Linked DNA regions of Drosophila melanogaster. The protein of the gene in region 1 interacts with the protein of each later gene in a pairwise test. Each region holds a gene or a part of one and is shown on either strand. Other genes may lie near its edges. The genes, in order: RhoBTB, CG8292 and stum.

Region 1 (13,889 bases):
GTCAAATCGTCTGTGGTAAAGCTTATCGTCAGCGATCGGATGTCTTTGATAGGCACTATTTTCACCTTTTGTCCATAGCGCTCCTCGGCGTAGGGGTGGCGTGGCCAACCTGGAACCTTGACGTTTTTGTTCTCTATTTCGGAGAACTTCTCCAATACCATGCCCTCCAGTTCGTCCAGCGATTCTGTCAGAGATTGATTACTTGCTGGCAGAAACGGCTATACTAAAACAAACCTTTTCCAATGACAGCCAGGCACATTATGTTGGCGGAGTACCACTGCTTGTGAAACTTTAGCAGCTCATCCCGCACATCAATGTTCTTGGACTTGGGTATTTCGGATAGGGTGGTCTTGTTGCCGCTGCCGAACTTGCTGTAGGCATGGTCAGGCTTTGCCAGGTGGCGGTTCACCTGCTTGATGCGCCACAGATCGCTGGGCAGGTTTTTCTCGTGCTCAGAGTTTACCTGCAATGACAGCGTCCTATTTCTGTCAGAAATTTTAATGAATGCTTTCACATACCGCATTGATTTCCCGCTCAGTTGCACTGGGCGTGAACAAGGGGGCTATGAAGAACTGCGCGAAGCGATCTAAGGCTCCATCTAACTTGTCCGGCGCCACGTGAAAGTGGTACTTGGTCATCAGGGGATAGGTGGCGGCGTTGCTGCTTCCGCCGCTCTGCGAAAGGTATGTGGTGTAGCCATTCTCATGCGGATACTTCTCGGTGCCGAGGAACAGCATGTGCTCGCAAAAGTGGGCCAATCCAGGCAGGTTCGTGGGATCAGACATGTGGCTGCCATGGGTATACTCATTAAAAACAAACATTGAGTGAAGATTTGATCTTATTTACCCCACTTGCACGGACAGCGCTGCCGCCGAGACATCTGTGTTGGGATCGCTGATGAGCAGGACCTTTAGTCCATTTTCTAGTTGCAATCCGCGGTAGTCGCGTGTGTCCTGCAGCGACTTTTCAATGTTGTTCAGCCTATAAACGACGAACCATTGCCTTTCGACGACCTCTAAGATGCGTAACGTGCACTTACCTCAATATGGGCTCCATGCTGTCTGGCTTCCTAGTTGCGGACTTTTGCGAGCTTTCGGCTATTGTCATCTTGGGTTTTATAAGCGTGCCAATCGTTCGATGTGTTACTGAAATGCTGGCCCTCAACGCACTTGACCTGTGCGAAATAAATGCGATTTAGTGGTGCCCGTTAGCGGAAATTTGTTTAATTGCTGCCAACCGTCGACCAAAAACCGCTGTTAAGGCAAAAATCGATTTTCTGCACGTAAGATACATTGAGTTTGTGAAATACTCTTGACGACGCTACTCCGGCTTTACGTAGCGCGCACAAGAAATCTTAGAGTGGGAGGAGTAGATTTCCAAGCCGGTCGGTTACACGTTCAATCAATTTTAATCGCTTTTTGGACCGAAAAATAAATTCTAACTAGTTTCGCAACAACTAAAATAGCAAACAATCATCTGTTCGCAGAGCTGCCAACTCACCGCGCACGCAGAACTAGTTTAATATGTTGCCAGATCGTTTATTTTGTGAGTGGTTCCAGATTTGAAATTCCCAATTGGAGAAATTTTACAAAGTGGTAGGCCATATTTTCAAATACGAAAGACTTAATAAGTTTAAAGTGATGATTTTTAATAGTTCTAATGTAACTTTGGACTAAAGTAAGCTGCATATTCACCTTACCTAGGATAGATGGCGATTTCAAAATGTATTTCAAATGCTTGAAATTTTTCCAACGACCATACAATAAATATTGGGCAACCCTGATAACAGTCATTATAAAAATAAATATTCCGTGAATTCCCGTTCTCCGTCAATCTGGCAGTGCTCCGCGCCCAACCGCCGCCGTTTTCCAACACTGGCCGGTTGCCGTCAAAGCGCGTAGAAGAATTGCGGGCTGTAACTGCAATTTATTATTTTTTAATTTCATTTATAGTGCACCTGGTCAGCGAGCACTGGCTCATCCGCAGCCATCCGTCGGCAACCAGCTCGCAGCGATGTTAAACTTGTGCCAGCCGTAAAGATTTCGCGTGTTTGCGAACCACAAACTGCGTCGCCATCGGTGTGTGGGTGCAGAAATAAATGCAAATTGTTGTAAAATGCCGTGCTTTGGTGTGCGTGTTGATAAGTGCAATACGCAAAAGTAAGAACATTGAGGCAAATCCGTGCAATTCGTGCAATCCGTGGGATCAGGCGTTTTCAGAGGTGAGTGCTGCAGTGCTACGTCCGCGGAGATTTATGAGTTCGGGAATTCTGTGCTCTCCCCTTCGGCCAGCAGTCGAAGAATTAGGTTCTAATCAGGTTTTAATTGTTTACCCACCAACATGCGTTTTCCTCGAGAAAAAGTGCAAGTGTTCAACGATTTTTCTCCCCTAAATGGGTCAAGTTTGCCGGAATGTCGAGTCCGAACTTCAAGATCCCCTCCTAAAAGTCCCTTCTGTGCCTCCTTGTGTGCGAGTCTGAATGTGTGTGTGGTTTGGTAACGGTATTTGTGGCCGTTTTGCAATGGCACGAGAAAATCAATAAGCTGGCAAAATTGAAGAAAGGAGACTTCCCAGACATGGCAAAACAGCGCAGAGTTTGTTAATAATGCTAATATGCTGGCGTGTTCTGCGAATTCTCGCGAATCAAAATGTCTAATTAAACCACAGGTTCACACCTCGCATGAGAAATAAATTGGAACCAGTCCCTAAATAAACTTTGTTTTTATTTCCCAAGATTATGGTTGGTGCAAATATTTTACAATGAAAACTAAGAACATACCTTTTAAAAACTAAAAAATACGATCTTTCCATTTTCAAAATACCTGATATCTTCAAAAACTAACAGTTGTTTACCTTCACAACGTCTTCTTTCTTTGTTTCTTTGTTTTTGCTTCACTTTGCTTAAGACTGGGCACTTAAATAATATATTTTAAAAATATTTCTACAAGGAAATAATAAAAATAAAAACGGTATTTTATAGTAGTTATATCAGACATTAATTTTTCAATATTTGAAGAATATTCTTCCCTCTTTAACCTTCATAAAGTCAATTCAAATGGCTCTAAATAGATTGAACACATAAATTATAGAAAATCAAAGCAAAAGTGGAACCGATTGCCATGTATTCCAGAGGTCAACGATCCACAATATTGACAGTAACTTAAAGTCTTCGCACGAACAAAAGACTTTCCTGTGGAGAACAACGATCGCTTCTGGCGACCACTTGAAGTACTTTCAATTGCATGGTTATTGTTTTGGGTTTAAAGCGCGTCCCAAAATAGACAGACTGCAGCTCGTCGAGAAGATCGGACAATGGATTGCCATGAAGCGTGGGCCACGCAGGAAGAAGTGTGCTCATTGCGACCGGAGGATTGAAGGCAGATATATTTTTAGTGCAGCCCAATTAAGTTCAATTAGAGGTTCAAAGAGAGAGAGCGAGCTTATCGCTCCGTATCCGAGGTACTTACTCCAACTTCCTCCGCGACAAGTGGATCAAGTGGGGGTCAATGAATTGGCTGGTTTTATAGCCTCCGTTTGCGGGATCCAATAGATTTCTAAGTAAATGATACGAAGCTGGTATCTGATTTCACTATAGTTATTTTCACAGTGCGCAGCGAGTAAACAAACAAAATTGCCTATTGGCGTAGATCAGTTATTCTGGCTTTACGTATAACTGAACGTAGAAGTGAATTTTCCCAGTGCGTAGATTATTTCAAACTATGTATTTCTATTTTGGGAAGCACTTAGGTATCTAGATTAAAATCAAATTAATCACGTGATGAAACCATTTTGCCTTCACACAAAACGTTAATGCAGACGACACTTTGTGTAACTTAGTAATTAGCAGGTCGATTGTTAGTCGAGAATTTAGCATCTGCTTATCAGAACTGAAAAACATTAAGGCAGCTATTCTACGTAGTTCACTTATTTATATTAGAAGGGGTGTCAGCAGTTTATTTTATTTTCAATATTTTCATTTATGTATGTTTTCCTCAGGAGAGACCACATTTTATTAAATCACACAAAAATCCAATACTATTTTCATTTCAGATTCCATAAGCTGGTTCTGCTATTTGTGCATGCCCAAAATGGACAACGAGCAGCCGCATCAAGAGCTAGTGAAGTGCGTCCTGGTGGGGGACACGGCCGTGGGCAAGACGCGACTGATCTGCGCGAGGGCCTGCAACAAACACGTCTCGCTATCTCAGCTCCTCTCTACGCACGTGCCGACCGTGTGGGCCATTGACCAGTATCGCATATATAAGGATGTGGGTTACCATTCTCTCAAGAGTCATAGTTATTGCATTTAACCGAATCCATATACATTAAAGGTACTCGAGCGATCATGGGAGGTGGTCGATGGAGTGAATGTCTCACTTCGCCTATGGGACACATTTGGTGACCACGACAAGGATCGGCGCTTCGCATACGGCAGGTGTGTAGAGCTCATGTAGCAGCATTTTCGCCATACGAATCAATAAGATGCCTTCTTGACCTACAGATCCGATGTGGTGCTGCTGTGCTTTTCCATTGCCAGTCCGATTTCCCTGCGCAACTGCAAGATGATGTGGTATCCGGAAATTCGCCGCTTTTGTCCGGATGTTCCCGTCATTCTAGTTGGCTGCAAGAACGACCTGCGCTACATGTATCGCGACGAGAACTATCTCTCGTATTTCGGCGAGAAGGGAACCTTTGTTCGGTATGCATAGCTAGCAGGTTTCAGCCGGTTTTGAGTGGCTTTCACTTTTTAATGTTGTTCTTTAATCAAATCAATTCAATTATTCACCATAATTTAATTATATTTAGAACACACGAAAGATATAATTCAATGTTTAGCCCACTATAGCAAATTAATCTGTTTATATGTTCAGAGATATTCTATTTAATTGGATTAAATTAAAGGCAATCATTACTATAATCTTTTTTTAAAGAGCCGCGTTGAAGAGTGACCTGGTTATGCCGGATGAGGCGCGTGCCGTCGCCAAAGAGCTAGGAGTGGCGTACTACGAGACCAGTGTTTTCACATACTTTGGGGTGAACGAGGTGTTTGAAAACGCCATCCGATCCGCGTTGATTGCACGCCGACAGCAGCGCTTCTGGATGACAAACCTGAAGAAGGTGCAGAAGCCCCTGCTGCAGGCGCCGTTCCGGCCACCGAAGCCACCACCACCGGAGGTCACCGTCATGGTCGGCAACTATCGGCAGGACATCTACAACATGTTCCTGTCGCAGGCCTACACCGACCTCGTCCTGGTCGGGGCGGGTGGCACCAAGTTCGCCGTGCACAGGTTCATGCTAGCCGCCGCGTCCAGCATCTTCCAGCGCCTGCTTAGCACTGAGCTGACTGATATGGGCGGGCGGAGCAGCAGCGAATCTAGCATGGTCAGCTCAACATTCGGGGAGGCCACCATTGCGGACTTTAACGATGACACGGAGGCCCTGATCCGCTACGAATCACGCACACAACGGTGGGTGCTGCCTCCCGATTGCATTGAGCCCATTTGACTTTGAATACATTTTGCACCCACAGAATGTGGGAACACTTGAAGCGCCGCTCCAGCTACCAGGCGTTGCCTCTCATGGAGTCTAAGCGGTCCAACGATTTGTACAGGGAGCTGCATCATCCGGTCCTGCAGAGCATTCGCCTGGTGCACGTGGAAAACCATCGGGGTGTAAATGGTCTGCAGACGATTGTCACCCTTAGCAAACTTATCTCTCCGCAAGCTCTGCACCAGTGCCTGAGATTTATTTATACCGGTACCATTGACAAGGATTGCGATAATATCGAGGTAGGAAATGTTTCAATGTATTCTGTGTTAAGTTTGACCTACTAATATATTGTTAATTCTCACAGGAAATTCGAGAAGCTGCCGATCTATTAGAACTGCCGCAACTGACTCAGCTACTTTCCAGGCCTCAAACCGTTATGGAGAACTCCAGCGATGAGCCAAATCCGCACATTTGCCTGGTGAGCGCATTGATGTCATGATATCTATTTTATGATCCTAACCATTTTCTGTTACATACATTAGCGCATCAAAGAAAGCATGGAACGGCATTGCATTGGTGACGGGTGCTTCAGTGATGTCACCTTTGAATTGGACGATGGCTTAATGAAGGTACATACATATGTCTGTTGAATTACTATATGAAGCACAATCGTTTACACTTACCTTTGCTGCATTGCAGGCACACCGCGCTGTGTTGGTTGGTCGTTGTGATGTCATGCGCGCAATGTTGTTAGGCGACTTTCGCGAGGCTCATTCCAATGTGGTAGGAACGGGCACAATACCCCTTAACTAAGGACAGTTGTCATAAATTTCCTTTACCTTAGATCGTATTCCCTGGCGTTACCATTTACACATTCCACAAGCTGCTGTGCTATTTGTACACAGACCAGATTCCGCCAATCTCGGCCGTCAAGTGCCTCAATCTGCTGGAGCTGGCCAATAGACTCTGCCTGCCGCGGCTGCTCAACCTGGTTGAATGCCGCGTTATTGAAGATCTCACTCTGATTTCTCAGAACGAAACCAATGAAACGGTGGATCACTGTCTAAAGCTGCTCGAGCCAGTGAAGGTACACATAGAGAGATCAGTTAAAAATGATATACCGAAATTCAATACTTTTCTTTTTTTTTCAGCTGCACAACGCACATCAATTGGCCGAGTGGTGCATGTCATACCTGTGCGTCAATTACAACCTTATTTGTAAGTTTTCACTCAAGGGCCTAAAGGCGCTACACCAGGATAATCAGGAGTACTTGCGCGAGCACCGATGGCCTCCAGTCTGGTATCTGAAAGACTATGATTACTATCAGCGATGCCTGAACGAGCTGAACAAGGAGCTTAAGCTAAAGACTTCGAGGCGGGAATCGCCTAGCGATGACGAGGGCTGTCTGTGCTTTACGGGCGGTAAGTGTTGCTACATTTACGGAACTATCTGCTCCACATCCCACCACACTTAACATCCCAGTCCAATACTCCAGTCGGAGGATCAGCTCAGGTTTTAGTTTCAGCTAGCTTTAGAGGACAATGTATGTATCATGACGGCGGTTTGTATTCGTAGCTAGGTGTCTCGTTATTGTTTTCCTTTCCTGTTGATTTCCTTGCTCATTTACAACGACAACGCCATCATCATAATATTAATGTCCGAAATTTGGTCAAAGTATTCTCTTGCTGGCTGTTAGGTAAATCGAAGCGAAGCGCTGATGTGAGTGGAACCACGGATAACAGCAACGCAGATAATCAGATCTTCAACAGCGCCGGCAACTCGCTCAACCACATTGATCTGGAGGCGGACATGGACCTGAATCTCTGACACCCAGCCCTAGGGCAAGGAAGGTGTGTTGATATTAATGTCAAAGTAAGGATTCTTCGATATTTATGATTTACTTCGATACTTTGATTCCAGATCACTGCGCTTCATTGTGATCCTGCCGGTCCTGATCTGTTTTATCTGTACGATTTTAAGTATTTTGATACTTTTCCAAATCCATACATAACAAACCTCAAGGGCACGATTTAGAGTGGTCGGGGAGATAAGGGTTGGAAATGGAGGGGGCGTGGCGCGTCTGCTTTTGACATTACGCAATATATAGAGCGCAAATTTGCCTTAGTGATTAACGATTAATAAGTCCAACGTAGCTCGACCCAGAACAAGGGAGCATACTGCAGAGTGCTTCGGATTTCTTATATTTATACGCCTATATAAAACGCAAAGCATAGACGAGTATGTATGCACATGCACCTCGGCGCTGCGAAGCATTTCGCTGTATTGCCTTACGATATATCGGTGTACACTCAACTTGTTCTGCACGATCCCTCCCATGGAATGTGGACAGCCGAAGGACGCAGACATGTGTATATCCATATATTTGTACCTTTACCTAAGACATGTATGTATGTATATTTTTGAATTCCTACTTACGGAAACATTTGTCTAGCCATAGCTCTAAGCAATTCTCTACGATAAGGACGCATTTTGTACAGAATGATAGAATAAAAAAGCAATTACGAACAAATCTCACGTTTCTTCCTTGTAATAAAAACGCATTTTACAATGTAATAAATTTAGAATTATAACAGTTCACATGCCATTTAAAAAAACACAACATTTATATCGCAGTTTTCACGGATTTTACACTGGATTGCGATACAGTACCATCCTCCACCTCAAGATCCTGCAGCATGGCAATCATCTCCTCGTCCGTAATCACAACCTCCGCCCTTAGGTTGTTATTAATATGTGGACTAAACGTAGCCGGCGCAGATTCTCCAGCCAGTTCACGCAATTCCTGCTCAAGTTGATCATCTTCCTGGCTCGCGTTCTCCACAACGCTATTGGACATTATGTCCTGAACTTCCCGATGCTGGTCGAGCGTGTCCCGCACATCGGCCAATACTTCGTCGACATTGTCGTACTTCAATCCAGAATTCGAGAGAACCTTCTTCAAGGTATTTGATCCGATCTTGTAGGCATCCAGAACAACGCCACTGTTCTGGGCCTCATCCACACTGGACAGAAGAGATTCGATGTTGTGCAGGGCAAGACTGCGACGTTCTAATTAGAGAATTTTCAAAGAACATTATTCACAAAAGCCAGATAAGGGGTGTCTACAATAAAGATTACCATGATTCTTTTCCAGGAGATGCCTTTTTCGTAGATAGGTTTTTGCCATTTGCCGTTTGTTCTCCTTCATGTACTGGCGCACTTTGTCATCGTTCACCTTGATCTCCTCCTCTAGGTCCTCCAACTGCTTGAGTAACTGAGCTTGGGTATTCTGAAGATTGTGGACGGCCTGGTCTTCTTGGCTTATATTAAGATCGTCGCCAGGTTTTTCTATAACAAAAATTATAGTTTAATAATACATACTAACTACTTGAGAACCTTTTAAACTTGCTTGGTATTTTGATCAAGTGAATTTGGCGTATGCCTTTTTCTACTTTAAATTCTAGGCCCAAGATTTGACGAACATTTAAGGCCAACAGGCAAGCGCATAGATCTTTGTCTGAGTAAGTGGGAACTCCGTGAGTCTTACAAAGCGTTTTCAAAGCATTAAAGTGCAGTAGTTTTCCAGTGTTTTCCGACAGGACTTTTTCGGCGATGAGATCGCAAGTGTTCTGGAAAGTTAATTATGTAGGATTCCTATAATCATTGGATGATATCACATACGTTTAAGGCATCTAGGTGAATCCATTCAATTAAAGCGGAGGCTTCCAGGTCCTCCGTCACCACGCTGTGCTTGATTTTCGACCAGCTCCATGAAAGGGGGCGCTTTACCAGGCTGTTGACGAGCCAACCACCCCAGGAATTGGCCGGATCGTACTCAAATTCACTGCGAGAGCGGATCTGCTTCCTCTGCTGCATCTCGGATATCACGGTGTCCAGGCAGGCGGGCAGTTGGTCACCCCTCATGAACAGCAGTTGCAGATCCCGCAGGCTGAAGATTGGTCGTCCGCTGAACTTTAGATATTTTGCAATTAAATCCATCCAGAAATTCATTTTTGCGTCGTAGCCCTCCGCATCCAGATGCCTCGATCGAAACATGGCGAACTGCACCTGCATTCTACCGTTGTCCTGCCAGCTTGCGGGAAAGCTGAAGTGGTCGGTTTCATTTACCCTGTCACCGCTTCCAAGGCCCATATTTAAAACAAGAATTTAATCCGGATCATAAAAATTGCGCGTCTTTTGTGATTGTGTGTTTATGTCGAATCAGCTAGTTTCTGGTGTTGCAAAATGATTGAATGTATACAAAGCTTGTAAACAAATTTTAAAAGGGGCCGTTAATTTAATGGAATGCTAATCAAATGAGATACTTTTTTTTAAGATTTTTACTTAAAGCTAATAGGTGCACATAAAATGTGTGGGAATACTCAATTTAAAATGTAAATTTCGAATCAAATTTTTAAAAATAAATTAAAGATCCAATTGCTAAATTAAAAATTTGTAATTTAATTTAGATACTGCTTGTATTGTATACAATTTAAGACAAATTCTACCGCTTACCAACACTGCGCTTTTCGATAAGCTGGATATCGATTAACTTTCTCCACATCGCAAATCAGCTGTTCCATCCAGGCTACTAGATTAAAAACTTCTGACGAAAATTTTGTTTTGAAGCTTTTGTTGAGTGTGCGTGGAACTCGCCTTGGCACTGGAGCGTACAGCACCATTCCAGAGGACTCCGGGAATGCACGGAACACGTAGCTAACTTGGCCGCCCCAGGATTCCGCAGCATCAATGAGCAGAGCAGCACATCCCAGCCCCTGAGACACGTTCTTGGCCACGAATTCCCGCCTAGATCTCCTCGCTGCCCCTGAAAGGCCCCCGATTGCAACATCTGTCGGATCATCTTGAAGTGCGTGCGATTCTCCGGATAGTCCATTGTTCTGCGGTGAACTGACTCCGTTCAATTGAGTCTTGCAATTCATCATGACGGAGGACGAACAGATTAACCTGCGCAATCAGTTGGCGAGGGGTAAGTGGTGCTTTCGCAAGATTATGGAAGCTTGCATCTGCGTCTGGCAAATACCAAAAGCAATACAGAAGGAGTTTTAATTCACTATAAGTTGTTAGGAACATATAGATTTGAGAAGGAATTGGGGAGTTCATATAAGTTCAAAAAGAGATAAGGTATTTAAACACGAACTAAGTTCTCAGAAGACTATCTCTGATTTATACAAAAATATATCTAACAATTCAATTGTTCGACTTGATAAATATGGTTGATTGTTTATAAACTTTCTAAACCTATTTTTAGTGGGCAGCTTTGCGGTTGCGAGATAAACACAAACAGTGATTAGAAAGTAATCACATGATGACTGAGAGCATAAACTCGAATTTAGATTTAGCGATGTTAATTTAGCGGGATAAATTTCTAATAACTGTTGGCCTAATTTAGGTTTTTCATTTTAAAATTATTTCTGTTATATAGTAAACAAATATTCCAAGCAATGTGTGCTTTTAAATTCTTTCATACGTTTATTATTGCGAGCAAGGTTGAGGGTTTATTGACTTGGTTTAATTCTGTAGCTTGACCACTTTTTTAGTGGCGCGAACTGCCTGCTAAGCAAAAGCATGCATATGTGATAATATTTTCTGGTCTGTCACAGATATGACTAACGTCACAATGACTGCCAGCTATTTACACAAAACCAGTGCATCGAAATACCCTACTCGTATCGCTGCCAGATTTCATGCTCTGTGGGTACACAACACCATGAATGATAAGATTAACTTATAACTCGCGAAACACATTTGTCCATTTAAGCTATAATCGAAATCAGTGTCTGCACTTGCGGAATGGCTAGTAGTTTTCCCCAAAGGCTAGTGTATGAATGATTGCCATCTCGGCTCTCTTCGGACCACAGCTTTTTCGGGCGGGTTCTCCGCTTGGAATTTGAACCATTTGGGACCGCGTTATCAGGGCTCTTCACACTCTTATCACGCCTGCTGCGCCTGCAGAGAGAGTGTTGTGCCACAAGGCACAGGTTCGGTCATGAATGGCCAGATGATTGACTATGCATTGGCTGGGAATTTTACCAAGTTACCCACGGGCCAGTCGCCGAGGCAAATGCAAAAGCGGACGGACGTAATGGCGATCCACAGACGTCGTAGGGTTCACAGTGGGTCGACGCTGCTCTGGCAGTGTTTTAAATGTGTTTTCGTAATGATTAAGTTCGGTTCGGCTCGCTCATTAATGCGGTGAGGCTATATATGTATGGGTGTCTCCCCCTCCACGGTCATATACCCACTACACATGGCGCTCAGTTCGTTTGGAGCTGCTTATACATATGCGAAAGCCGCAGCGCGTCCGCCGCTGCTGCTGTTGCTGTCGCGGCTTCGGGCAGTAAAATTTCATTCAAACGCGTTTCACGTCTGTTTTCGAACGGTCAACAACGGATGGGATCGGATCGCATCGCATCGCGCGATCACCAGTTGTCGCCATCGCCATTTAGAAACCTATGAATTGAGCAAACAAACATCTTTCGCGGCTTTCGTGGCCAATGGTCCAAATCCAACAAGCTTCAATCCACTCCACACTCCACAATCCAACTTGCCTGTGATAAGTGCCCGCCTCTGAACTTGTAAATCCGTTGTGTGTCAGCGAAACGCTAAGCTGTAAAATAATCAAGCAAATAAAATGAAAGTCCCCACGCGCAACTCGAAATACTCATTCAATTTGAAAATATTCAAGTTGCATAACGATAAGAAACCGACCAGCCCCAGTCCGCCAACCTCACCTGTGATCTCAGCGAAACGAAACTCATGGCGCGCTTCGTGGCGCTCAGCTCTGGGTTCCAAGAGCAAGTCCATCGCCATGGCCTCGGATAGCAGCTCAGATCCCATCGATTTGGAGGCGGAACCAGTGTTTTTCGAGCACAGCAGGTGCAACAGCTACTGCTCCTCGTCCTCCGCCTTCACCGAACTACCGCATCCCGCCATCCAAATTCCCCAAGGCGATGAGCTTATGTGTAAGTTGGCGGATAATATGTGTTCAGGTTTTGGGATATCTGATTGGCCAAATCCAGTCTCCTTCGTAAAAATCGTGCTAAATCGTGCTTAAATACGCTTTTAATTCGCCTGATTTGAGGAATAAGATGGATTGAAATGCGTCGCATGATATAAGTAAATTCACTAAAACCCTAAAAAACCCTTAATATGATTTTATTTAATATGATTTTAAGGCCACAATTAATCCCATAGTCAGTGGCCATCGGTATCGTCCAATGAACCCACAGCTAGTTATTTAGTATTTAGTATTGTAGGGAATAATATTTTAACATTTGCCTAAAAATGAAGTACTTGGCGAGAAGATAAAAACCGCCGGCCTCTTGACTCCATCCAGTTTATAGTTAAGATTGTTAAATTCTGAGTAATGCATTCTGAAATAGACCTACACGTTAAACAACTGATTAGATAAACGTCCTGGGGGATCTCGCGATTTGCGGATCGACAAGTGAAGATCGGACAAATTCGGTTGAAGTGTACACCTGTATTATAAAAAAAATTGCTTGAGCCCGCCAAACGGTCAATTCCCTGGTCAATTCGAGCAATACCAGCGCCCGATAAGCTGCGTGCCGTGCCCGGAGGGCAGATAAGAAAGGTGTGTTTACCCGAGCGCGGCGCACATGCGTTCAGTTCGAGTCGATTGCTCATTTCGCTAGTGTTCAGCTGTTTACGGCTAATATATTATCCGGCAGCCAGTCAGTCAGTCAGTTGGAGCCATCGACGTGTCGCACTTGCCTGTGGCGCCCGAGTGAAATGTTTCCGGTTTAGGCAAACCAACGTAGTATACAGGCGCACTGTGCTCGTAATGAACCCATAGCCATATACTGCCCGAAACGAAACCCAACGCAACGAATCGAATTGAAAGCGCCGTAGTTCCGTGGAATATATACACCTCGACATACGCGCTGCCCGGGTCTCTGGGCTGGGCTGGTCTGACTGACTGGAGAGTCAAATAAAATAAAACGCGTTTACCAGTGATTACACGTCGGTGTTATGTGCAGCCGATTCTATAGTCGAGCGGAATAAACCAGCAGCGCCACAGCTCCAAGGGTTACACAATGCCGGAGGCGCTACACTTTACATCGATCTTTGATCTCATCATCAAGAGCGGTGCGTGCACTTCCAAAGTCCAATTCGGTGCGAAGACATTGCCAATGCGGGGAAGCCTTTGGTTTATTACAATATAAAAGCATTCTGCTTAGACGATATCCACTGTATCCGATAAGTATACTCTGTGAAGTACCCTCGCCTCGATAAAGCAACCGTTAGCAGGCAGCAGTGTGACACAGTTTGGCGTCAATTTGATCTTGACACCATGAGCATGAACCGCTTTCAAGCATTTAGTTTATTCATTTAGCTAGCCTTTGGCGTTCGATTT
Region 2 (6,208 bases), on another chromosome or scaffold:
ACATGACCAAAGAGGAGTTCAAAAAGATGAAGTCAGAGCTGGAGGCGTAAGTGTCAATTAATCCAAATAGTCATTTTCTTATATACTAATGTACATCTTTACTTGCCAGTGAGTACCTAGCTACCTTCAAGAAGACGGTGGCCATGCACGAGGTTTTCCTGCGCCGCCTTGCTAGTCATCCCGTCTTTCGCGTCGATCAGCACTTGAAGGTTTTCCTGGAATACGACCAAGATCTGTGCGCTAAGCCACGCAAGAAGATGGCCATCTTTGGCGGCTTTGTCAAGTCCCTGGGCAAGACCACAGACGAGATCTTGTTGAGCGCCACGGTTCGGGATGTAAATGACTTCTTTGAGAACGAGCTGCAGTTCCTTACCGAGTACCACGGCCACTTGCGCGAGGCAGCACTCAGGACGGAGAAAATGACGCAACGCCACAAGGATGTAGGCGACTCGCATCAGAAGATTTCGAATGCGTTGACGCAGCTCTCGACTACGGAAAAGGGAAATGTGGAGACGTTTGTGGCCAAGACAGCGGAGATATTTGAAAGGATCAAGGTGCGCTACGCTGCGTTTTCGCTATAATTATATTTTATAAATTTTCCTCTTGATATTTTAAAGAATCTGGAAACCCGAGTGGCTAGCGATCAAGATCTCAAGCTGGGCGACACTCTGCGCTACTATCAGCGGGATAGCGACGCTGCCAAAGCTCTACTTATCCGGCGACTGCGGTGTTTGGCTGCTTATGAAGCGGCCAATCGAAACCTGGAGAAGGCTCGCTCCAAAAACAAGGATGTTCATGCGGTAAGATTGAGGGATGATCACAACTAGTTCTTCCAGAACTATGTTTCAGATCGTTTAAAGAGCAATTGTTTTCCCTACAAAAAGTTTCCAGCGGGTCAATTAATTCTCACGCTTCACTAATTACAAATAACAAATTATTTGCGTTCTTGTATTTTATTGCTACCGTACACAACCTCACAACTCTCTGATCTGCCTGTCCCTCCCTCTTCACTTTTTGTGCGTGTTTGTGGTTCTGTTTCTGCAGCCGTTGGAGGTGCAAGAGGTATTTGGCATTTAACGTTTTAACCGTCGGTTTAGTAGATGTGTCGCCACCCCACGTAAATGCTGCATGCGCTCCACCGTTGCTCAATCTGTTGTATTCACTTTAGCATGCCCTTGCTGTGGCCCACTTGTTGTGTTCCCTGTATATAATCGTTTTTGTTTATCCTCCAATTAGGCCGAGACTGCCCAGGCGGAGGCCTGTGAAAAATTCGAATCTATGTCTGCATGTGGAAAGGAGGAGTTGATCGGTTTCCGCAACCGACGGGTAGCTGCTTTCAAGAAGAGGTGAGTCAGCAGCTGCTAAACATTTTGCTATGCTCTGCATTTTATTATCGCTTTTCTAAACACAGCCTCGTCGAGCTCTCAGAGCTGGAGATCAAGCATGCCAAGACGCAGTATGAATATCTGCGCCAATCACTGCTAGCGCTCAAAGAGATTGCCTGAGACGGGGAGCCGGAAGTAGACAAGGAATAGAAGGATGAGTCACCCGCACATTGTTTACACACCCCATTGAAACGCAAGCCTCATCGATTACACACATCCGGGAGACGAAGTAAATCAATTGTTTAATTGCTAAGCAAACAGTTTATTATTGCACAGGCCAAATCGAGTGCAACATTATTATCTTAGCCCACGTATTATATTAACGAATATTCATTTGTTTTGTGAACAGAGCGCTTTTATATTTGTCAAACAAGCATTCCTCTCTACAGCATAAACTACAACTACATATATTGTAAACACTTGCATTTGAAGCAGAATATAAACGAGAAATATTGTACAGAAGGCTGGCTGTTTGTGAGCAGTCAGTATACTAGCATTGTTTGGAGTCTATTCGGTAACTGGGCAACATCAAGGGTTTCCAAATTAAGCGTCTCAAGGGGTGCACATTTCCATTGTCGCTGAAAATTGTGTTTGTTGTCAGTGTTAGATAGATTTTCAAAGTCCATAAGCCATGGATGAGTTCGGCGTCTTCGATTACAAGCGCCCTGCCAGCGCTACAGATCCCGATTGGAGGACCTCGTACTATCGAGGGCATCGCCACATTACAGACTTGAGAATGGGTAACAAGCTGAACGCCAAGTTTACGGATAAGGGTATTTATGTAAAAGATCCGCTGCTGTCCGAGAAGCCGACTTCTGAGTGCATGGCCAACTATGTGTGGCAGGTGAGTTGATTGATATGCTGAGATATGTTGCACCAAACTAAAACGTGACCATGATGTTCCAGTATAACGATCCCAACGCACTTAGAAATCCCTCGCTCAACATGAAAACACAGTATATGAAACCATTTGAGGAGGGTTCCCTTCGCTTTGTAAAGCGAAAGATGAAGCCCATTTCTAGTGTCAGTCATGAGTCGTATGTACTTAAGGAGCTGCCGGAGGAACAGGAAATATTGCCTGTAACAATGCCCACTCCGGTGGTAGCCACCAAGCTAGTCATCGACCGTTCGGAGGCGTCCTTTAGCAAGTACCTTGATCCCTCCTCCACCACATACAATCTGTCGTATGTGCGCTGGGGTCCCGAGGACTTGTGTGGCGGAGTAGCTGCCCACGACAATATTACATACTGGAATTGGACGGAGAAGATGCCGCCCATCCAGAAAGTGTCCCGCGAAGAGGATCCTACAATGTGTGACGAGGGTAATACGCATAATTGCCCAAAGCGACGCTGTGAGTTTCAAAACCTCACCAAACGAGTGCCGCATTCGGGAATGGTCACCGAGGTGCGCGCTAATTTCACGGATCCACAATTTCGAAGGGTTGAATTCGATCCAGAAGTTAAGCCCATACTCGTGCACGAGGAAGTCACTCCGTTTGCGGAGAAAAGCGAATACGGCATCTACGGATCGGGAGAACCAGTTATCAAATACGTTTAGTTCTCTACACATTGTTTTGACTTTTTGTCAAGTTAATCAGATCGCTAACTTAAATTATTTGCAATACTTATTGACATTAGAACGAATAATTTTATTGCATTAAATAAATTCTGGATATTATTTAGATGAAAATTTCATTCAAATGAGTTAAAGCTGTGGGGAAGCAGATGGTAGGCGGACGTGACCAGCACTTCAGCTTCGTCCGGAATTGAAGGAATGCAGTTCTCTTGCTCCGGCGGCGGAGCCTTGGCAATGTAGATAGGAATATCATTTTGGATGAACTCCAAAATGAACTGCCGGCAGACTCCGCAAGGTGTGGTAAACCCATCTGGGTGATAGGCTACCACAGCACCCGCCGTATACTTCTTCTCGCCCTCGCTGATACCCTTGGCCAGGGCACAACGCTCCGCACAATTGCCTGGAGTGAAAGCTACGTTCTCGATGTTGCAGCCCGCGTAGATCCTGCCGCACTTCGCACGGAAGGCTGCTCCCACTTTGAATTTGCTGTAGGGCGCATAGGCACATCGACGGGCAGAAAGAGCCGCCTCTAGCAGCTCCCGGCCATCCTCACCTGGAGATTACGGTTTGATTACCAATGGCAGAGGATTCACCATTATAGCCAAGCCTTACCAACAGCACAGAACGCTACTGTGTACTCCTCCAACATCTGTGGATGTGGCAGGTTTTCGGATTCACTAGCCCGACCCCTGTCGCCATTTAGACGCGCCTCCCTGCGTGCTAGCTCGCATAGAAATCCCTCCAAGGTCATCATATACTTTCCCAGTACCTTTCGAAGATTCTTCTGGCGCAAGTTCTTGATCTTACCGCCAGCGCACTTGGTGCCAGATTGCTCCTGGCGACGAGCTAGCTTCGCCTGCAACATTTCCAGTTCCTTCATCTTCTTCTCCAGCTCTTTTCGCTTCAGCTCATCCTGTAGGTCGCTCAGGTTCCGCATGTAGCGCTGAAGGAGCTTCCGCTTTTCGGACATTTTGCAGAACTTCAAATTTTTAAAACGAAAACAATTTTTGAAAGCCAGAAGCAAATGCTGTATCTGTTGGCAATTTGTAAAACACTAATGTCAAACAAATTATTTTCTTTTTGTTTCTTTTTCATAAAAATGATTATATTATATTATTTAGCGCCATTTGAATTTTTATTACATTTATTACAGTTGATGTTCATTAAGGCATTTAATGAAACAACAACAACAACTAAATACGTTTAAAATTTTTACAAATTAAGAATGTCGAAAAAGCTCGCGCGTTTTCGACGCGTTTCGGACGCGTTTTGAACGCGCCTTTATCGCGACATCGGTCTAGCCAGTCTGTCTTATTGTTCGTATGAACATCATGATCTCAAAAACTAGAATCCAAAGGAATTGGAAACAAACCTTATAAATTTGATTTAAAAGATTGCCACTACCACAATGATCTTTCTTATTTTCGCTACTATACAAATGGCGAAATTTAATCTCACAATAATTTGGTGTTTATGAATCAGAAGTTGAGTGCATTTATCACGTCATCACAAATCGGGGCATTCCCTGCATTGCGCTTAACGTCAGCAGTTGTCAATCCAAATTCGATATCTTTAATTTATAACCTTAATTTTGATATATAATCAAAAGCGATTAAACACCTTTTCCTAGAATCTTTCACTGTGTCAATCTTTCCAGCATTTATATCCCCATTTCCTATTCATTGATCGAAAAAAAAACATTAAACACTGCTAAGTAGTGTAATTTTCTTTATTGCAAGTGATTAGATCAAAATTATATTGATTAGAGGCAGCAAGGGGTTGAGAAACAACCTTTACCTAGCTACCTTCTGCCTATTTTCGGTTCTTGCCTGCAGTGGTCGTTACTTTCGATAGGTGTGAAAACTGCTCGGCAACAGATTAAAGATTGAGGTGCACATGACGGGATCGTCACTCTGCAAAAGTTCCTGCTTTTCAGCAATCCTCGCATCGATCGCCTGGGCCACATATATGGGTATATCCGCGTTGGCAAACTCGCGTATAAACTGACGACAAACGCCGCAAGGAGTGGTGAATACATTAGGTTCGTAGGCCAAAACAGCACCTGCCAAAAATTCGGTGGCTCCTTCGCTTACGGCCTTAGCAATGGCCGTTCTCTCGGCACAAGAGCCCGGCGTAAAGGCGGCGTTTTCCACATTGCAGCCAGTGAAGATCTTTCCATCGACCTTGGCCCGAAAAGCAGCCCCAACTTTGAAGCCACTATATGGAACGTATGCCCGCTGGCGCACTTGAAAAGCAGCTGTCAGAAGTTCTTGAACCGACGGATCTGGAAGTCGAAACAATGCACGCCACGCTCAAGAATTAAACTTAGATCTTGTCAATGAGTGTAAGGAGTATTAATTTATAACATTATTATTTTTAATATCATAAGAACCACTTTGAATAATTGACAGTCGTAGATATTTAAGGATTGTTCTCAGATTGTTCTCAATCTCGAGAAGGAATCTTACCCAGACTGCCGAAGGTCACAACCTCCTCATTCTTTTCTGGACGTGCGAAATTTTTTGTCAGATGTGTCATTATAGTTCAATTCTTTTGGTCAATAGAGGCACGCCTATTTTCTTAAATTTTGAATTATTTTTAGCAAGTTGAGTGCGTGTGTTTCTCCTTTGAACGTCCGATGGCAAATGGACGGTTTGTGGTGACGGCGGCGCCCGAAGTTGGCTATGCTGATAGCACTCTCCGCCGTGTAGTGGTGACAGAAATAAACATTTGGCCAATTCGGAGCGCGAGAGAGAACCAGGTATCAGGCTGATAAGCAACGATCGCGATCGCGGAGAGCAGTGAAAAACACAAACAGATGCCGTATCTCGTATAAGCTATTCAATCAACAAATAACGAGGGGTGGGTTTACAGAACATTATAAATGGGATGTCACATAAACTATTGCACATGGATTGCACCCTGTCCGGCTGGGCTGGGCTGGGATATTCTTTTCTATTTTCCGTTGGCGAAGCTAAAGCCGTTGGGCAGCAGTTGGAGAACGCTGGTGCAGAGCACCCTCAATGGAAGATTGGTCGGCTTGGCGGCGTACAGGGGGATGTCCTTGCCGTTGACGAACTCCGAGAGGAACTGCCGGCAGACGCCACAAGGCGTGGTGAAGCCATTATCCTGCTGGGCCACCACTGCACAAGCCACAAAGTCGCGTTTGCCTTCACTGTAAAAATGTGTTATTTTAGTTATTCGAAAGGACTTGGAGAGGATAATTAAGTATGTAAGAATTTAAGTAA
Region 3 (10,931 bases), on another chromosome or scaffold:
ATGTGAAAAGTACTTGGAAGTGTTCTGCACTCTTCTTCTTCTTGGCGGTTGTAGTCATTCACAGTGCACGATCAAGGTAGCCAGACTGCGCGACGGTCAGCTGTGTAGGAAACCTAATACATCAAAGCAAAATAAAAAACAATCACATAAATAACAACAAAAAGAAATAACATCTCTTATAATGTACAAAAATTTTTAATCTTTCAAATTTTGATATTAATACCTTTTGCTTCCCTGTGAATACCCCGCCTGCTGCGAGAGCAACTGCCATTCACCCATCGACGCCGACAGTTGGGCACCAAGGAACTGTTCTTGTGTGAAAAACACACACACATTTGTTTTATTTCACTAGGACTCTTGACGATTACTTCACAAATCGGAAAATGCCATCGAAAAAGAAAAAATACAACGCACGCTTTCCGGCGGTAAGTTGAAACCACCGATTGGCGACAGGAAAGCTCCAGCCATTTGGCGGCCGTGAACGCCGAAGATGGGTTATCAGTTTTCGTGCATGTGTACATACATATGTACATACACGCCTCGCATAATCAGAGGCTCAAAAGAAGTAGAGGAGAAACCAAACCGGTGCGAGATTATAATGTTTCCAAACCATTACCATAAACTCCTTGCAGGGTCGCATCAAGAAGATCATGCAAAGCGACGAGGAAATCGGGAAGGTGGCCCAGGCGGTGCCTGTTATCATCTCACGCACGCTGGAGCTCTTCGTGGAGTCGCTGCTGACCAAGACGCTGCGCATCACGAATGCGCGCAACGCCAAGACGCTATCGCCATCGCACATGAGGCAGTGTATCGTATCCGAGAAACGCTTTGACTTCCTCAAGGAGCTGGTCCGCAACATACCCGACATCAGTGTGGCCGAGGAGGCCGCCTACAACGAGGACGATGTGTTACGCAGCTCGCCAGAGGAACAGTATCCAGATTCAGACACGCCATATGATCTTAGCCTGCCATCGACGTCAATGCGCTCGCAGGCGAACGGCACAGCTGCCTACATGCGCTCCATGAGTCTGAACAACGGAGCCGGATCGGGCGGAGGAGCCGCAGCCACCAAGCGGCAGTTTCAGTCGCAGCACTCCACCCAGGAAACTCCCACCACCAGCACCACCCTGCCCGCCAAGCTGGCCCGCTCCGGGTCCATGCCGGCCTACACGCCACGGGGCAGACCGCCCAATCACCTCAAGAAACAGTCGGTGCAGCTCGATACTGCCATACCCGCCCCGATCTGCAACTACGAACTCAACAAGCCCATTGTCAAGATCGACTACAGCCACGTGCAAATGCCGACGGCGAACCTGTGCACACCGGACGCCTCTGATTCTGGGTCAGGATCGGGCGCCGGATCTGGAGCTTTTAACTTCGACATAGCTGCTCCGGTGATCAATATCGATCTGACGAATATCGTGGCCGGTGGAGCACCTGGCAGTGGTGTGCCCCCCGCCTCTATTGGATTACCAGCGGCCACGCCGGGGGACAACAATAATGTGAACCAAATGGCTGGAAAGAGCAGCGCTCCCATCATTCCAAAGGCCACAGCGGCATCAGCGACCCCCACTGAAACCGTTTTCGAATTAGACGAAGACTATGACAATATTTGATTAGGATCTATGTGAATGCGCTTTTAAATTATTGATACATTAATATGTACTCTAGGTCTAAGAAATCACAATAACATTTTTTGCAAAATAAAGACCATGCTGGATTTTAAGCTGACGCAATGCGGAGTACTTTAAATAGAGAAAGAAAATTTATACATTCTAGCAGATAATGCTGTTTAATTTGCATACGATATTAAATCAGTTTATCTTTGAATTAGATGTACTAAACAAGTTCAACAATTATTGAAAATGTTTGCATTCATAGACACCATAAAAAAGCCGCCTCTGGGCGGCCGAAAGTCATTTATGCCCATCCCAGAGGCCAAGTTAGTTGACGATGTCGTCAGCTACATCGCCAAGCCAGAGTTCTATTCGACTGTTCCAGCGGCATTGAAGATGCAACGCCTTTTCTATGTGCAATACAGCGAACTGGCTGCCAAGTTGGAGACTGACCTCACAGCAGTGTTAACCCGTTTGGAGGCTGCCAAAAATAATTTGGAATTGGTGAGGAGGTTCATAGACAATCCTGACAAGGAAGTTCACAGCCTCGTGCAAATCGCACAGGGAGTATTCAGATGGGTGAGCATACCGCCAGTGCAAAAGGTTACCCTTCAAGTGGGCGCATCTCTGCAAATGGAATTCGAGCTGTCCGAGGCGGAGGAGTTCATCAAAAAGGACATCACCAGCCTGGTGAAGCAGCAATTGCAACATGAGCACGATATCGACTATCTGCAGGATCAGGTGAACACGATTGAGATGAACCTAGCCGTATTGTATAAACATGAAGTGGAGAACTAGAAGCATCCCACCATCCTTAAAATTGCTAGTACCTTGTAGTTGCTTATAAAGACATTCGTTCTAAATAAGTCTTTATTGTCTAAATGCCTTAATTTCCAACGAAGTACAGCTCTCCCTTGGAGTTCCCCACTAATTCATTCATTACAATTACATTATTAGCAGCCCGGTAAAGAGGTCAGAGTATCGGGACCGTAGGATCCCAGACTGTGCCCTACAAAATGTGACCTTTATTACCGAGCTCGGCTATTTACAAGCCTATACACATCATAATAATTATGACTTAATTTCGCCAGGGAGCACCGCTTAGTCATTGTGTAATCCTCGGTCACAGCCAATTACAATTGAATGCCTTTCAATCCCATGCCCATGCCTTCGTCCAGCTGTTACTCCAGCCCTCCGCATATTCGCACACGCAATCTGCCAGCCACAATTGATATTAATTTGTGCCCGATGTGGGTCAACCCATGATGTAGACTCCATTCCCTTCCAAGGATACCAAATTATATGGCAAAAGGACAAAACTGACCAGCAGATGAGCCACATATCGCGTGGGAAAATCTTATTGCAAGCGAATAAAATTACCCAACCGCTCCCAGTGAGCAAAGGTGCAGTTTTGAATTATATGAATTTTCATCCATGGGCTTGGCACACTAGATTAGGGTCAGCACTATTCCCGAATTTTGATTAGCCAAGCCCAAAGTCGAGATTAGATTGCTGCGCTCTCTCAACCAGATCAAGTGAATCCGCCAAAGAGTTTGGGCTCGGCTAATCGAAGCCCCTTCAATTGGGGGAATCAGATCTGCATCTGCACACCTGCACTCGTGGACTCCACGCTGTCCACCTGTCTTGAGTCATGGCGCAAAAAAAAAAGAGGTTAGAAACAATAAAAACAACTTGCGGCGCGCCGCCAGTGCCAAGTTTTCATGTCCAAGGCGTATTTATGTCAACCGGAAGTAGGTTTACTGACCCACGTATACCCGTGTGGCTGGCCAAACGTGGACTTCGGCTTTCTTCGGTGGTTTCTTCACCTAAACCCGACTGGTCAGTTGCCGTGGAGCTCCACGGCGCAGGACGATGTATAAGAAGGTATTTGCCCACGGCGGATTAGTTTTTCTACGAACGGCGAGTGCAGTGCATCGGATCGATGCAAATGCGCGTTGAATTTTTTGGGTATTCAGTTTTTTATTTGAAAATCTCTCACCTTTTTTTTTATGACAATAACTCTACAAGTAACGGTGCATTAAAAATTAAAACCAAACTGCCTAAAATCGGATAGAAATCGTCGGATATATCGCAAACATTAAAAACTTCCAACTCGGTTGTGTAGTGAAAAAGCCCAAAACAATTAACTCGTAGATGTCTCTAGGAATTCCCCGACTTGTGACTCCGTGTGACTCCACTGGGGGTTCGAGTTGGACCCCACAAGGGGCGGGTTTTTGGGGGCTAACACGACATTAGCCAAGGATTTCTCCGGCACTGCCACTTAAAAGTCCCCCCGTTCCGAGGGATTCGTGGCTTTGGTTTGGGTGGTCTGTGTTTGCACACATACCTGTCTTTAGGCGTTATTGCTGCCACTGCCGTTGTTGTCTTGATGTTGCAACAGTGCCCGGCTGGCCAAGGAGTTCGTAGCTGCGGGCCAAGTGTTGTTGACTCCTAGCCGCTGCACAAGGCAACGCGGAATTTGTTGCGGTTTTGACCCTATTCCAAAGCCAAGGAAAGTGCAGTGTACTCGCCGAGGGTCTTATACTCACTCAGTCGAGTGCAGGAAAAGCGTCCTTCTGCCGAAGCCTTTTGCAATATTTATGGGCAGAGACACCTTTCACACAGTGATTAAGTGATCCTAATTTTTGGGCGACGCATAACTATTTTTTGACATTCTAGCGGATAAAATATTCAAACACTTAAAATAAGGATATATTTACTTTCAATACTAAATCAATAGGCGTATTTTAAACTGATTTTTTTGAACACAGTAAAGGAAAGTTTTTATTAATACCTATCATTACGTTCAATCAGAGCTCTTATGTGCAATCTCCAACTCCATAAAACTGCATTAAAGTGAAATGAGCGAAAGTGTTCATTGAAATACATGCGTGCATTCAATAGATACAAGTGGCATTAAAGTTATGAGGCATCCCGAAAAGTATGAAAAATTAGCTGACTGAGCTTCTCGGTGGCAGGCAGTGCGGCGTAGAAGTACAAAAGTGTTGGAACATCGCGTGCCACAGACATACCAACAGGTGTCACAGCCAGCCGGGGGAAACTGGGGGAAGCAATCAAAAGTTGTCTAAGAGGCAGAAAGAGCTGAGAAAGAAGCACACGCCGCACAGATGAACACAACGACATGCAAACGGCTAATGCAGCCGCCTCGCTAGGCGGCGAAATGCGGAAAACTCGCGGAAAAGTCGCGGCGAATTGGCGCCCCCGGTCGCCTTTTCTTTTCGGCTTTTCAGTTCGCCAGTCTCGATATCTCAGCGGGTCTGCGTGTGCAAACTGTTGGGGCACCGAGTGTGTGTGTGTGTGGGGGGGGGGGGCATTGTGTGCTGTTTTGGATTTGAAGTGTAGGCAATATTTCTCTTGAAGGCCTCCATTTTGCTCACTTACCGCTGGTCGGCCATCAGTTTAAGTTAGGCAGCGGCCACGTTTCGTCGCGTTTCCATTATTTGTTGCGGCTTTTCAGCAAATACATTCTATTTCCGAATTAGACTAAACTTAAAACCCAAATGTAAATTATATAATGCGCTCCAGGACCAAACTAACACAGTCAGTGTGGACGTGGCAGGTATTAAAATTCGTTATTCAAGTGTGACCGAGCGTTAATGAGATGCAAGAAAACTGCGTGTAATGCGGCAAGCGATTAAAAAACCAATTCGCAAATAGGAAGCTTAAGCCGCCTGGGAGCCGGCCAACTCCCCCAAAACGCGTCATGGCCAAAACAAAACGAAAGGAACGAAAAGGAGCCGGCCAAGTCACTTCCTTTTGGCCCAAAGTGTGTCACCGAAATTCGAGCGGCGGGCCATAAAATGTAGGTTAAATATTAGGCAGAGGAAAATCAATGCGAACAAAGGCCATTCATTCACACCTTTCCTCCACCTTCCCCCCCAAAACCTTCATGGGCTACGTCATTTCGCTAAAATATCTGCGTACCCAGCCGCACAGCTCCAATTAAACCATCGCCTTCTTCTGGTGATAGGATAGTCTCAGCCCGCTGGCTTCCACATCTGCCGGGTCGTTCGACTTCAAGTGCAGTCACTAATGCGGCAATTTGCAACATGCAACGCCGGTGCAGCCAGCCAAGCCGAAGCCATCCGCCCAAAAGCAAATCCCCATCCCCATTCCCCCCATTCAAGCCTTTGAGGCCTCCTCATCAAGTTATGCTCTCGTTAGCGCCAAGACAAGCGTTTGGGAGTTGGGAGTCCGACTCGGATTCGCATATAGCAGCAGGTGCATGGCATACCATAACGATTCCGATTTCAAATCGGTTTGGTTTCGGGGCGGCTTTATCAGCGCCTCGCACGCAGCTATTTATAGTTGAATGTGGAGTGAAATGGCATTAGAAAATAAAGCCGTGCAGTAATAATTACTCTACTATTTTTGCCACAACCAGTGATGGAAGCGGACGTATCCGGGCAGTTGTACCTAATTACTTTTTTTTAATTGCTGATGAATTTAAATTACTTTACTCAAGCTATTAAAAATTTAGGATATTTGAAAAAAGTTACTTGGTATGAAGACAGAAATTACTTTTATTATTATTTTTAAAAATTCGCCCAGGTAAACATACTCAATACCCTTTTCCATCACTGCGAATTGGCAATGAAACCGGCAGCCCTTCAGTTTCGCTCTCCGGTTTTTGGGACTGCCTACTCCGTGCTCCGTGCTCCTCGTTCCGTTATCCGTTCTCCGCCGGTGAAGGCGTCGCGTGTACGTCTCTCTGACATTGCAAGAGGGCCGGAAGGTCTCGCTGGTCGTCTGTCTGTGGAATCAAAAGATGTGCGCACATGGGTGTTGTGAGTGATTTTTAAATACATTCTGTTGCTTCGAATAAACAGCTCCTGGCGTCATTGGTTTTGTGGCACTTAAACTAAAGCGAAGGACGAACGCGGAGTGTCCTGCGTGGAAATCGGCTTCCAACTACTGCAACCACGACTGAATTTCGCAAAAACGCTGCAACAATGGATAGGAAATCATAGTGAATGCATGAGGGCCGAAGATCGGTTAGCACCCATGTCAAGCCATGCAGCAGACCCTCTCGTACTCATCATCATCGCCATCCCCATCCCCGATGCCCATGCCATCAGCCTCAGCCGCACAGACGCCGCCACCGAACCCGAATCTGACACCGAATCTGAACATACGTCCAAGTACGAACCCAATACCACGACCCAGATCCACTGGAGGCGAGTCCGCGTTCCAGCCGGCCATCATCCCGGTTGATTATAGCTATCGCACCCATACCACCCGCTCCATTCTCTCCGCCCAATCGATGGCACCCTCCACGTTCGCCTCCAATCAGAGCTTTGTGCGCCAGCCCTCGGAGTCGGATGCCCAGCCGTATAGTAGCCTCTTTGGGGATCCGGTTCCACCGCCTCTGCAGCCGGATGATTACTTCGGAACAGCAGCATTTGAGACGTTGCGAAATGGGTCTGTGGAACTGCCCAGCTCCGAGGAGGATGCGCTGGTGGCCGCCATGGCGCTGAACGCACTTATTCCTGCGGCCAGGGAACGCATCTTTCCGAGTGTCCCGTACTCGAGGACTCCCCGAGGATCCCTACTGCCTTATCTCCAGCCACCCGACATCCAGATTCTGCCCAACTCGAGCGGTGGCTCCAGTTCAGAGCAACTGGGCTCACCTAACTATCGGCTCCTGGCCCCCGATGACATTCTGAACAAGCCGGACGTTTATGATTTGGAGAACGAGGTCGAGGAGTACACCGTAGTCGGTCAGAGAATGTCTTTCGATGATGAGGAAGATGAGCCGACGAGGACTCCTAGCCAAGCGCCCGCCAAGTTGAGTGTGTCCAGCATCACGACGGAGGACCACAGGGGGTTGGTATTTGAATACACCAATATATTATCCAAACTAATCCTTCGTGATTACCTCCTCTTAGATTACTCAGTGACTCCTATTCGGGAAGGGATTGGTTCCGTCCGGCGCCACAGCACTTTCCAGAGTTCACACGCATCCCACGATTGCGGCCCAGCTCCAAAATGATTATGTCGATGAAGCAGGATGAAGGACCTCTCTCCCCACTGGCCACCATGATCCAGGACATGAACAGCTCGAGCAGCGGCGGAGAGGAGCGAGTGGCACCCAACCAAAGCAGGCCCGTTAGCAGGGACGTTGTACTCTCACCGAAGCAATATCTGGAGGAACAGTTGGGTCTGGAGAGAGGTAGCCAGAGGCAGTCGCTGGAGGACTATAGAATGCCACCTCCACCGGCAGACCCGCCCCCTTTCCGTAGAACTGACTTGACGGAGCAGGATGACAGCCGCAGTGTGGAGCCTGAACATAGCTTAAAGCGGGAAATGTCCCCAGTTATCATCAGGGATTCAATACCTATGGGCGGAGATTATAGGTAAGGTTATCCTGTGGAAAATATCCATAAAGATAATACATATATTCAAGTTTTTCTGTCCCCTCTAGAGTGGAGCAACCTCGTCCACACAAAAAGACTGCTTTCACGATACTTTCCACGGGACAGGCAGCTTCTTCTGCTCCTCGGCCTCCACAACAAGCTCCCACCAGAGGAAGACACGCCTCCATTCAGTCGACATCGACGACTACCTCATCGCCGGCCGGCAGGCCTCAGATCAGTCCTCGACGGAGATCGATCTTTGGCTCAGAGCCGCGACTGCCTGAGCTGCCCTCCGCGCTGGGTTACACCAGTCACCTCGTCCACCAGACCACGGATGACTCGCCACGCCCATCGGTTCAGTTCAATATGAGTGGACGCCACAGTCGCAGCAAGCTGGCCATTCCGCAGAAGGGCATTCTCCAGCAGCGGGACTCGCTGACCTCCTCCATCGACACCTTCACGCCAAGAGCCCAAATAAGAAGGGGTTCCATTGGCAGGGATCCCATCCGCAGCTTGCCCTATGGCCAAAAGATCAAGAGCATGGAAACACTGCCCCTGATAAACGATCAGCATCGCAGCTCCATTCCCCGCCTGCACTACGGATCCACCATGGATCTGAGTAGGCCGGAACCTGCTGTTTTTCCGCCCGGAGCACTGCCGCGACCACTGAAGCCAAATCTGAATCCCACGCGAAGGCAACGCGGTCTCCTGAAGATCATTAACAAGGAGGAGTCGCTCACCCACAACCCGCCGCGTTCCAACTGGTGCAGTTTGGATGACCTGAGCCGACCCTCCTTCGATGGCACTCCCAACCAGGCAAGACGTCGCTCCAGCTCGACCTCACCGGAGCGTCGCAGTTCCACGCAAACGGTCTCGGATCGAAGAAGTTCCAACCTGAGCAGCGTCACCGCCACCACCTCGGATTTCAGTTTCCGCCGACCAACGCTCTCCACACTGCCAGCAGCTCAGACACTGTCCAGAATGCGTCGGAAATCTGTGCAGGCTCTAAGTCCGAATAGGATACCCAACAGGATACCAAGCTTTGGACAGCGAAGGCAGTCCATCTATCAGAGGGATCAGGAGCCCAAGCCGTTGAGCAGGCACGGAAAGATCGCCAAGCCGAGCACTCTGTCACCCATAATTGGAACCCCAAATAAGGACAGCAGTTCGGCACAGAGTCCAAACCACAGATCCTCGCTGATGGCCGATGCGGTGGATACCCCATCCGAGGTTTCCACGCGACGGGACTCGGTGTCCCGCATACCGGTTCGCAAAAGTCCAGACTCACGCTCCAGTTCGCCACCCAAAGACTTTGGAATCCCTGCCTCTGGACGAAGCTCGCGGGCTAGCATTACTAGGTCCCCTTCCAGAACCATGAATGCCGGCAGTCGATCCCCTTCCAGATCCATGCATCCCAGCAGAACGTCCTCGAGGGAGAGTGGAAGACCTGGAGACTCGAGGTCGGCATCCAGGGGCCCACCTTCTAGGCCTGGTTCCCGATTGGATCAGATCGGTTCCCGAATGGATCGGCCCAATTCACGCTTGGAAAGATCCAGCTCACGCGCTGAGAGATCTAGTTCCCGGGCGGATAGGCCCAGTTCCCGTTTCGATGTGTCCAACTCGCGGGGAAACTCACGTGCAAACTCGCGACTGAGCATCAACTCTTCCTCGCTGCGGTCGTCCAGCATTTCACCCGCTACCATGGCCAGGAACAGGAGCATGCGTGCCACAACACCCAGTCGCCGAAAGTCCATCTCCTTGAGTCCAGCCAGTGCTATGATGGGTCGCCGGAAATCAATCAGTCCCGATGCCGTTGGTCAAAACCGAAGAGTTTCTAGTCGGGGTAAGCCCGAGCCTCCAGAGATTCTATCTCGAAGGAACTCCCGCTCGCGCATTCCCACCAGATCGACTAAAGTTGCCTCCAAATCCCCGCCGTCTTCGTCCAAGAAGAGATCGAAATCGCCGGAGAAACCCAAAGCGATGGGATCTACGCCCAAGAGCAACAAAGTTGGAAAAGGGGTAACCGCTAAAGGAAGCCCCAAAGCGAAGCCGAAGATCGCTGCAAGTGCCAAACCAAAGACCAAGACGGAATCCTTGATGAAACCACCAGTGAAGAATGCAAACAAAACTCCTGTAAATGGTAGACCAACCACAAATGCAAAAAAGCCAGCCAGCAAGGCGATTTCCACAAAGGATGCAAAAGTGGAGAAGGGAAAGGAGACTGGGAAGTCTGTGGCCTCCAAGAGCAATGGTAAAGAAACCGAGTCTTCAGTAAAATCCAGTAAATCCCAAGTCACAAAAACTAAACCACCTGGGGGAACAACATCGGAGGCCAAGAAACCAGCCACCACAAAAACCCATGGCATAACTTTAGAGAAAGGGACAAATGGAACCGATCCCGTTGGAGGAATTCCTCCTTTGGCGGCTCAGGTTGGCAATGCAGTTCTGCAGGCGGTGGAAGCGGTTCCTGCGGTTACCAGTGAGGTTACCGTGCCCTCAACGCCAGGAGGTAAAGGTGCTGGCGGCGCCAATATGTCGAAACTGGTGCGAATGAGCTCCAGGATGAGCCTGCTGAGCAACAAGAGCACCAAGGTGCGATCAGATTCTCCTCAAAACCGAAAGGTGGCCACCGTACAGGAACATGCTACAGAAAAAGAAGGTGGGTTTTTACAATTGCTTACAAGGATAAATTAGACCATCTTTCATCTTTCCCTTACAGAAACAGTGGGAGCCAGCTCGCAACCCATGTCCAATGATGCTGCTGCTATTCTGGAAAAGTCGCAGAAAACTCTGGAGAACATTCAAAAGACCGTAACTGAGGCCACCGACGAGATCCATAAGACCATCAGCGAAAATCTCACCGATCTGAAAAGTCTGGAGAACGACCTTGCCGCTGATCCCTCGCCAACGCCCAGTTCGGGTACCACGATGGCCAGGC

The links.
Region 2: the proteins of RhoBTB (region 1) and CG8292 interact in a two-hybrid assay, tested with the Drosophila melanogaster proteins (one large-scale study listed by BioGRID).
Region 3: the proteins of RhoBTB (region 1) and stum interact in a two-hybrid assay, tested with the Drosophila melanogaster proteins (one large-scale study listed by BioGRID).

What each region holds. Positions count from the first base shown.
Region 1 is NT_037436.4:20,374,381-20,388,269, forward strand, and holds RhoBTB (Rho-related BTB domain containing), read left to right. Parts: upstream 1-1,861; 5' UTR 1,862-2,221; intron 2,222-3,361; exon of another isoform or gene 3,362-3,459; intron 3,460-4,050; 5' UTR 4,051-4,079; coding exon 4,080-4,268; intron 4,269-4,331; coding exon 4,332-4,435; intron 4,436-4,501; coding exon 4,502-4,699; intron 4,700-4,931; coding exon 4,932-5,468; intron 5,469-5,530; coding exon 5,531-5,789; intron 5,790-5,854; coding exon 5,855-5,968; intron 5,969-6,032; coding exon 6,033-6,119; intron 6,120-6,189; coding exon 6,190-6,273; intron 6,274-6,334; coding exon 6,335-6,577; intron 6,578-6,641; coding exon 6,642-6,912; intron 6,913-7,166; coding exon 7,167-7,318; coding exon of another isoform or gene 7,319-7,341; intron 7,342-7,411; coding exon of another isoform or gene 7,412-7,502; 3' UTR 7,503-8,018; downstream 8,019-13,889. Other genes in the region: Ide (insulin degrading metalloproteinase), read right to left, coding at 1-184, 235-463, 519-789, 847-981, 1,040-1,107; CG5498 (uncharacterized protein), read right to left, coding at 8,115-8,560, 8,630-8,839, 8,901-9,120, 9,173-9,643; fbl (fumble), read left to right, coding at 12,144-12,474.
Region 2 is NT_033779.5:8,213,708-8,219,915, reverse strand, and holds CG8292 (uncharacterized protein), read left to right. Parts: upstream 1-1,898; 5' UTR 1,899-2,016; coding exon 2,017-2,229; intron 2,230-2,291; coding exon 2,292-2,942; 3' UTR 2,943-3,065; downstream 3,066-6,208. Other genes in the region: Snx6 (sorting nexin 6), read left to right, coding at 1-46, 110-554, 618-800, 1,045-1,062, 1,237-1,346, 1,412-1,505; CG8349 (uncharacterized protein), read right to left, coding at 3,077-3,513, 3,573-3,930; CG8353 (uncharacterized protein), read right to left, coding at 4,802-5,244, 5,429-5,498; CG8360 (uncharacterized protein), read right to left, coding at 5,916-6,135.
Region 3 is NT_033778.4:21,669,864-21,680,794, forward strand, and holds the start of stum (stumble), read left to right. Parts: upstream 1-5,037; 5' UTR 5,038-5,439; intron 5,440-6,210; exon of another isoform or gene 6,211-6,466; 5' UTR 6,467-6,651; coding exon 6,652-7,463; intron 7,464-7,525; coding exon 7,526-7,993; intron 7,994-8,061; coding exon 8,062-10,652; intron 10,653-10,712; coding exon 10,713-10,931. Other genes in the region: NC2alpha (negative cofactor 2alpha), read left to right, coding at 384-425, 633-1,616; CG15676 (uncharacterized protein), read left to right, coding at 1,866-2,414.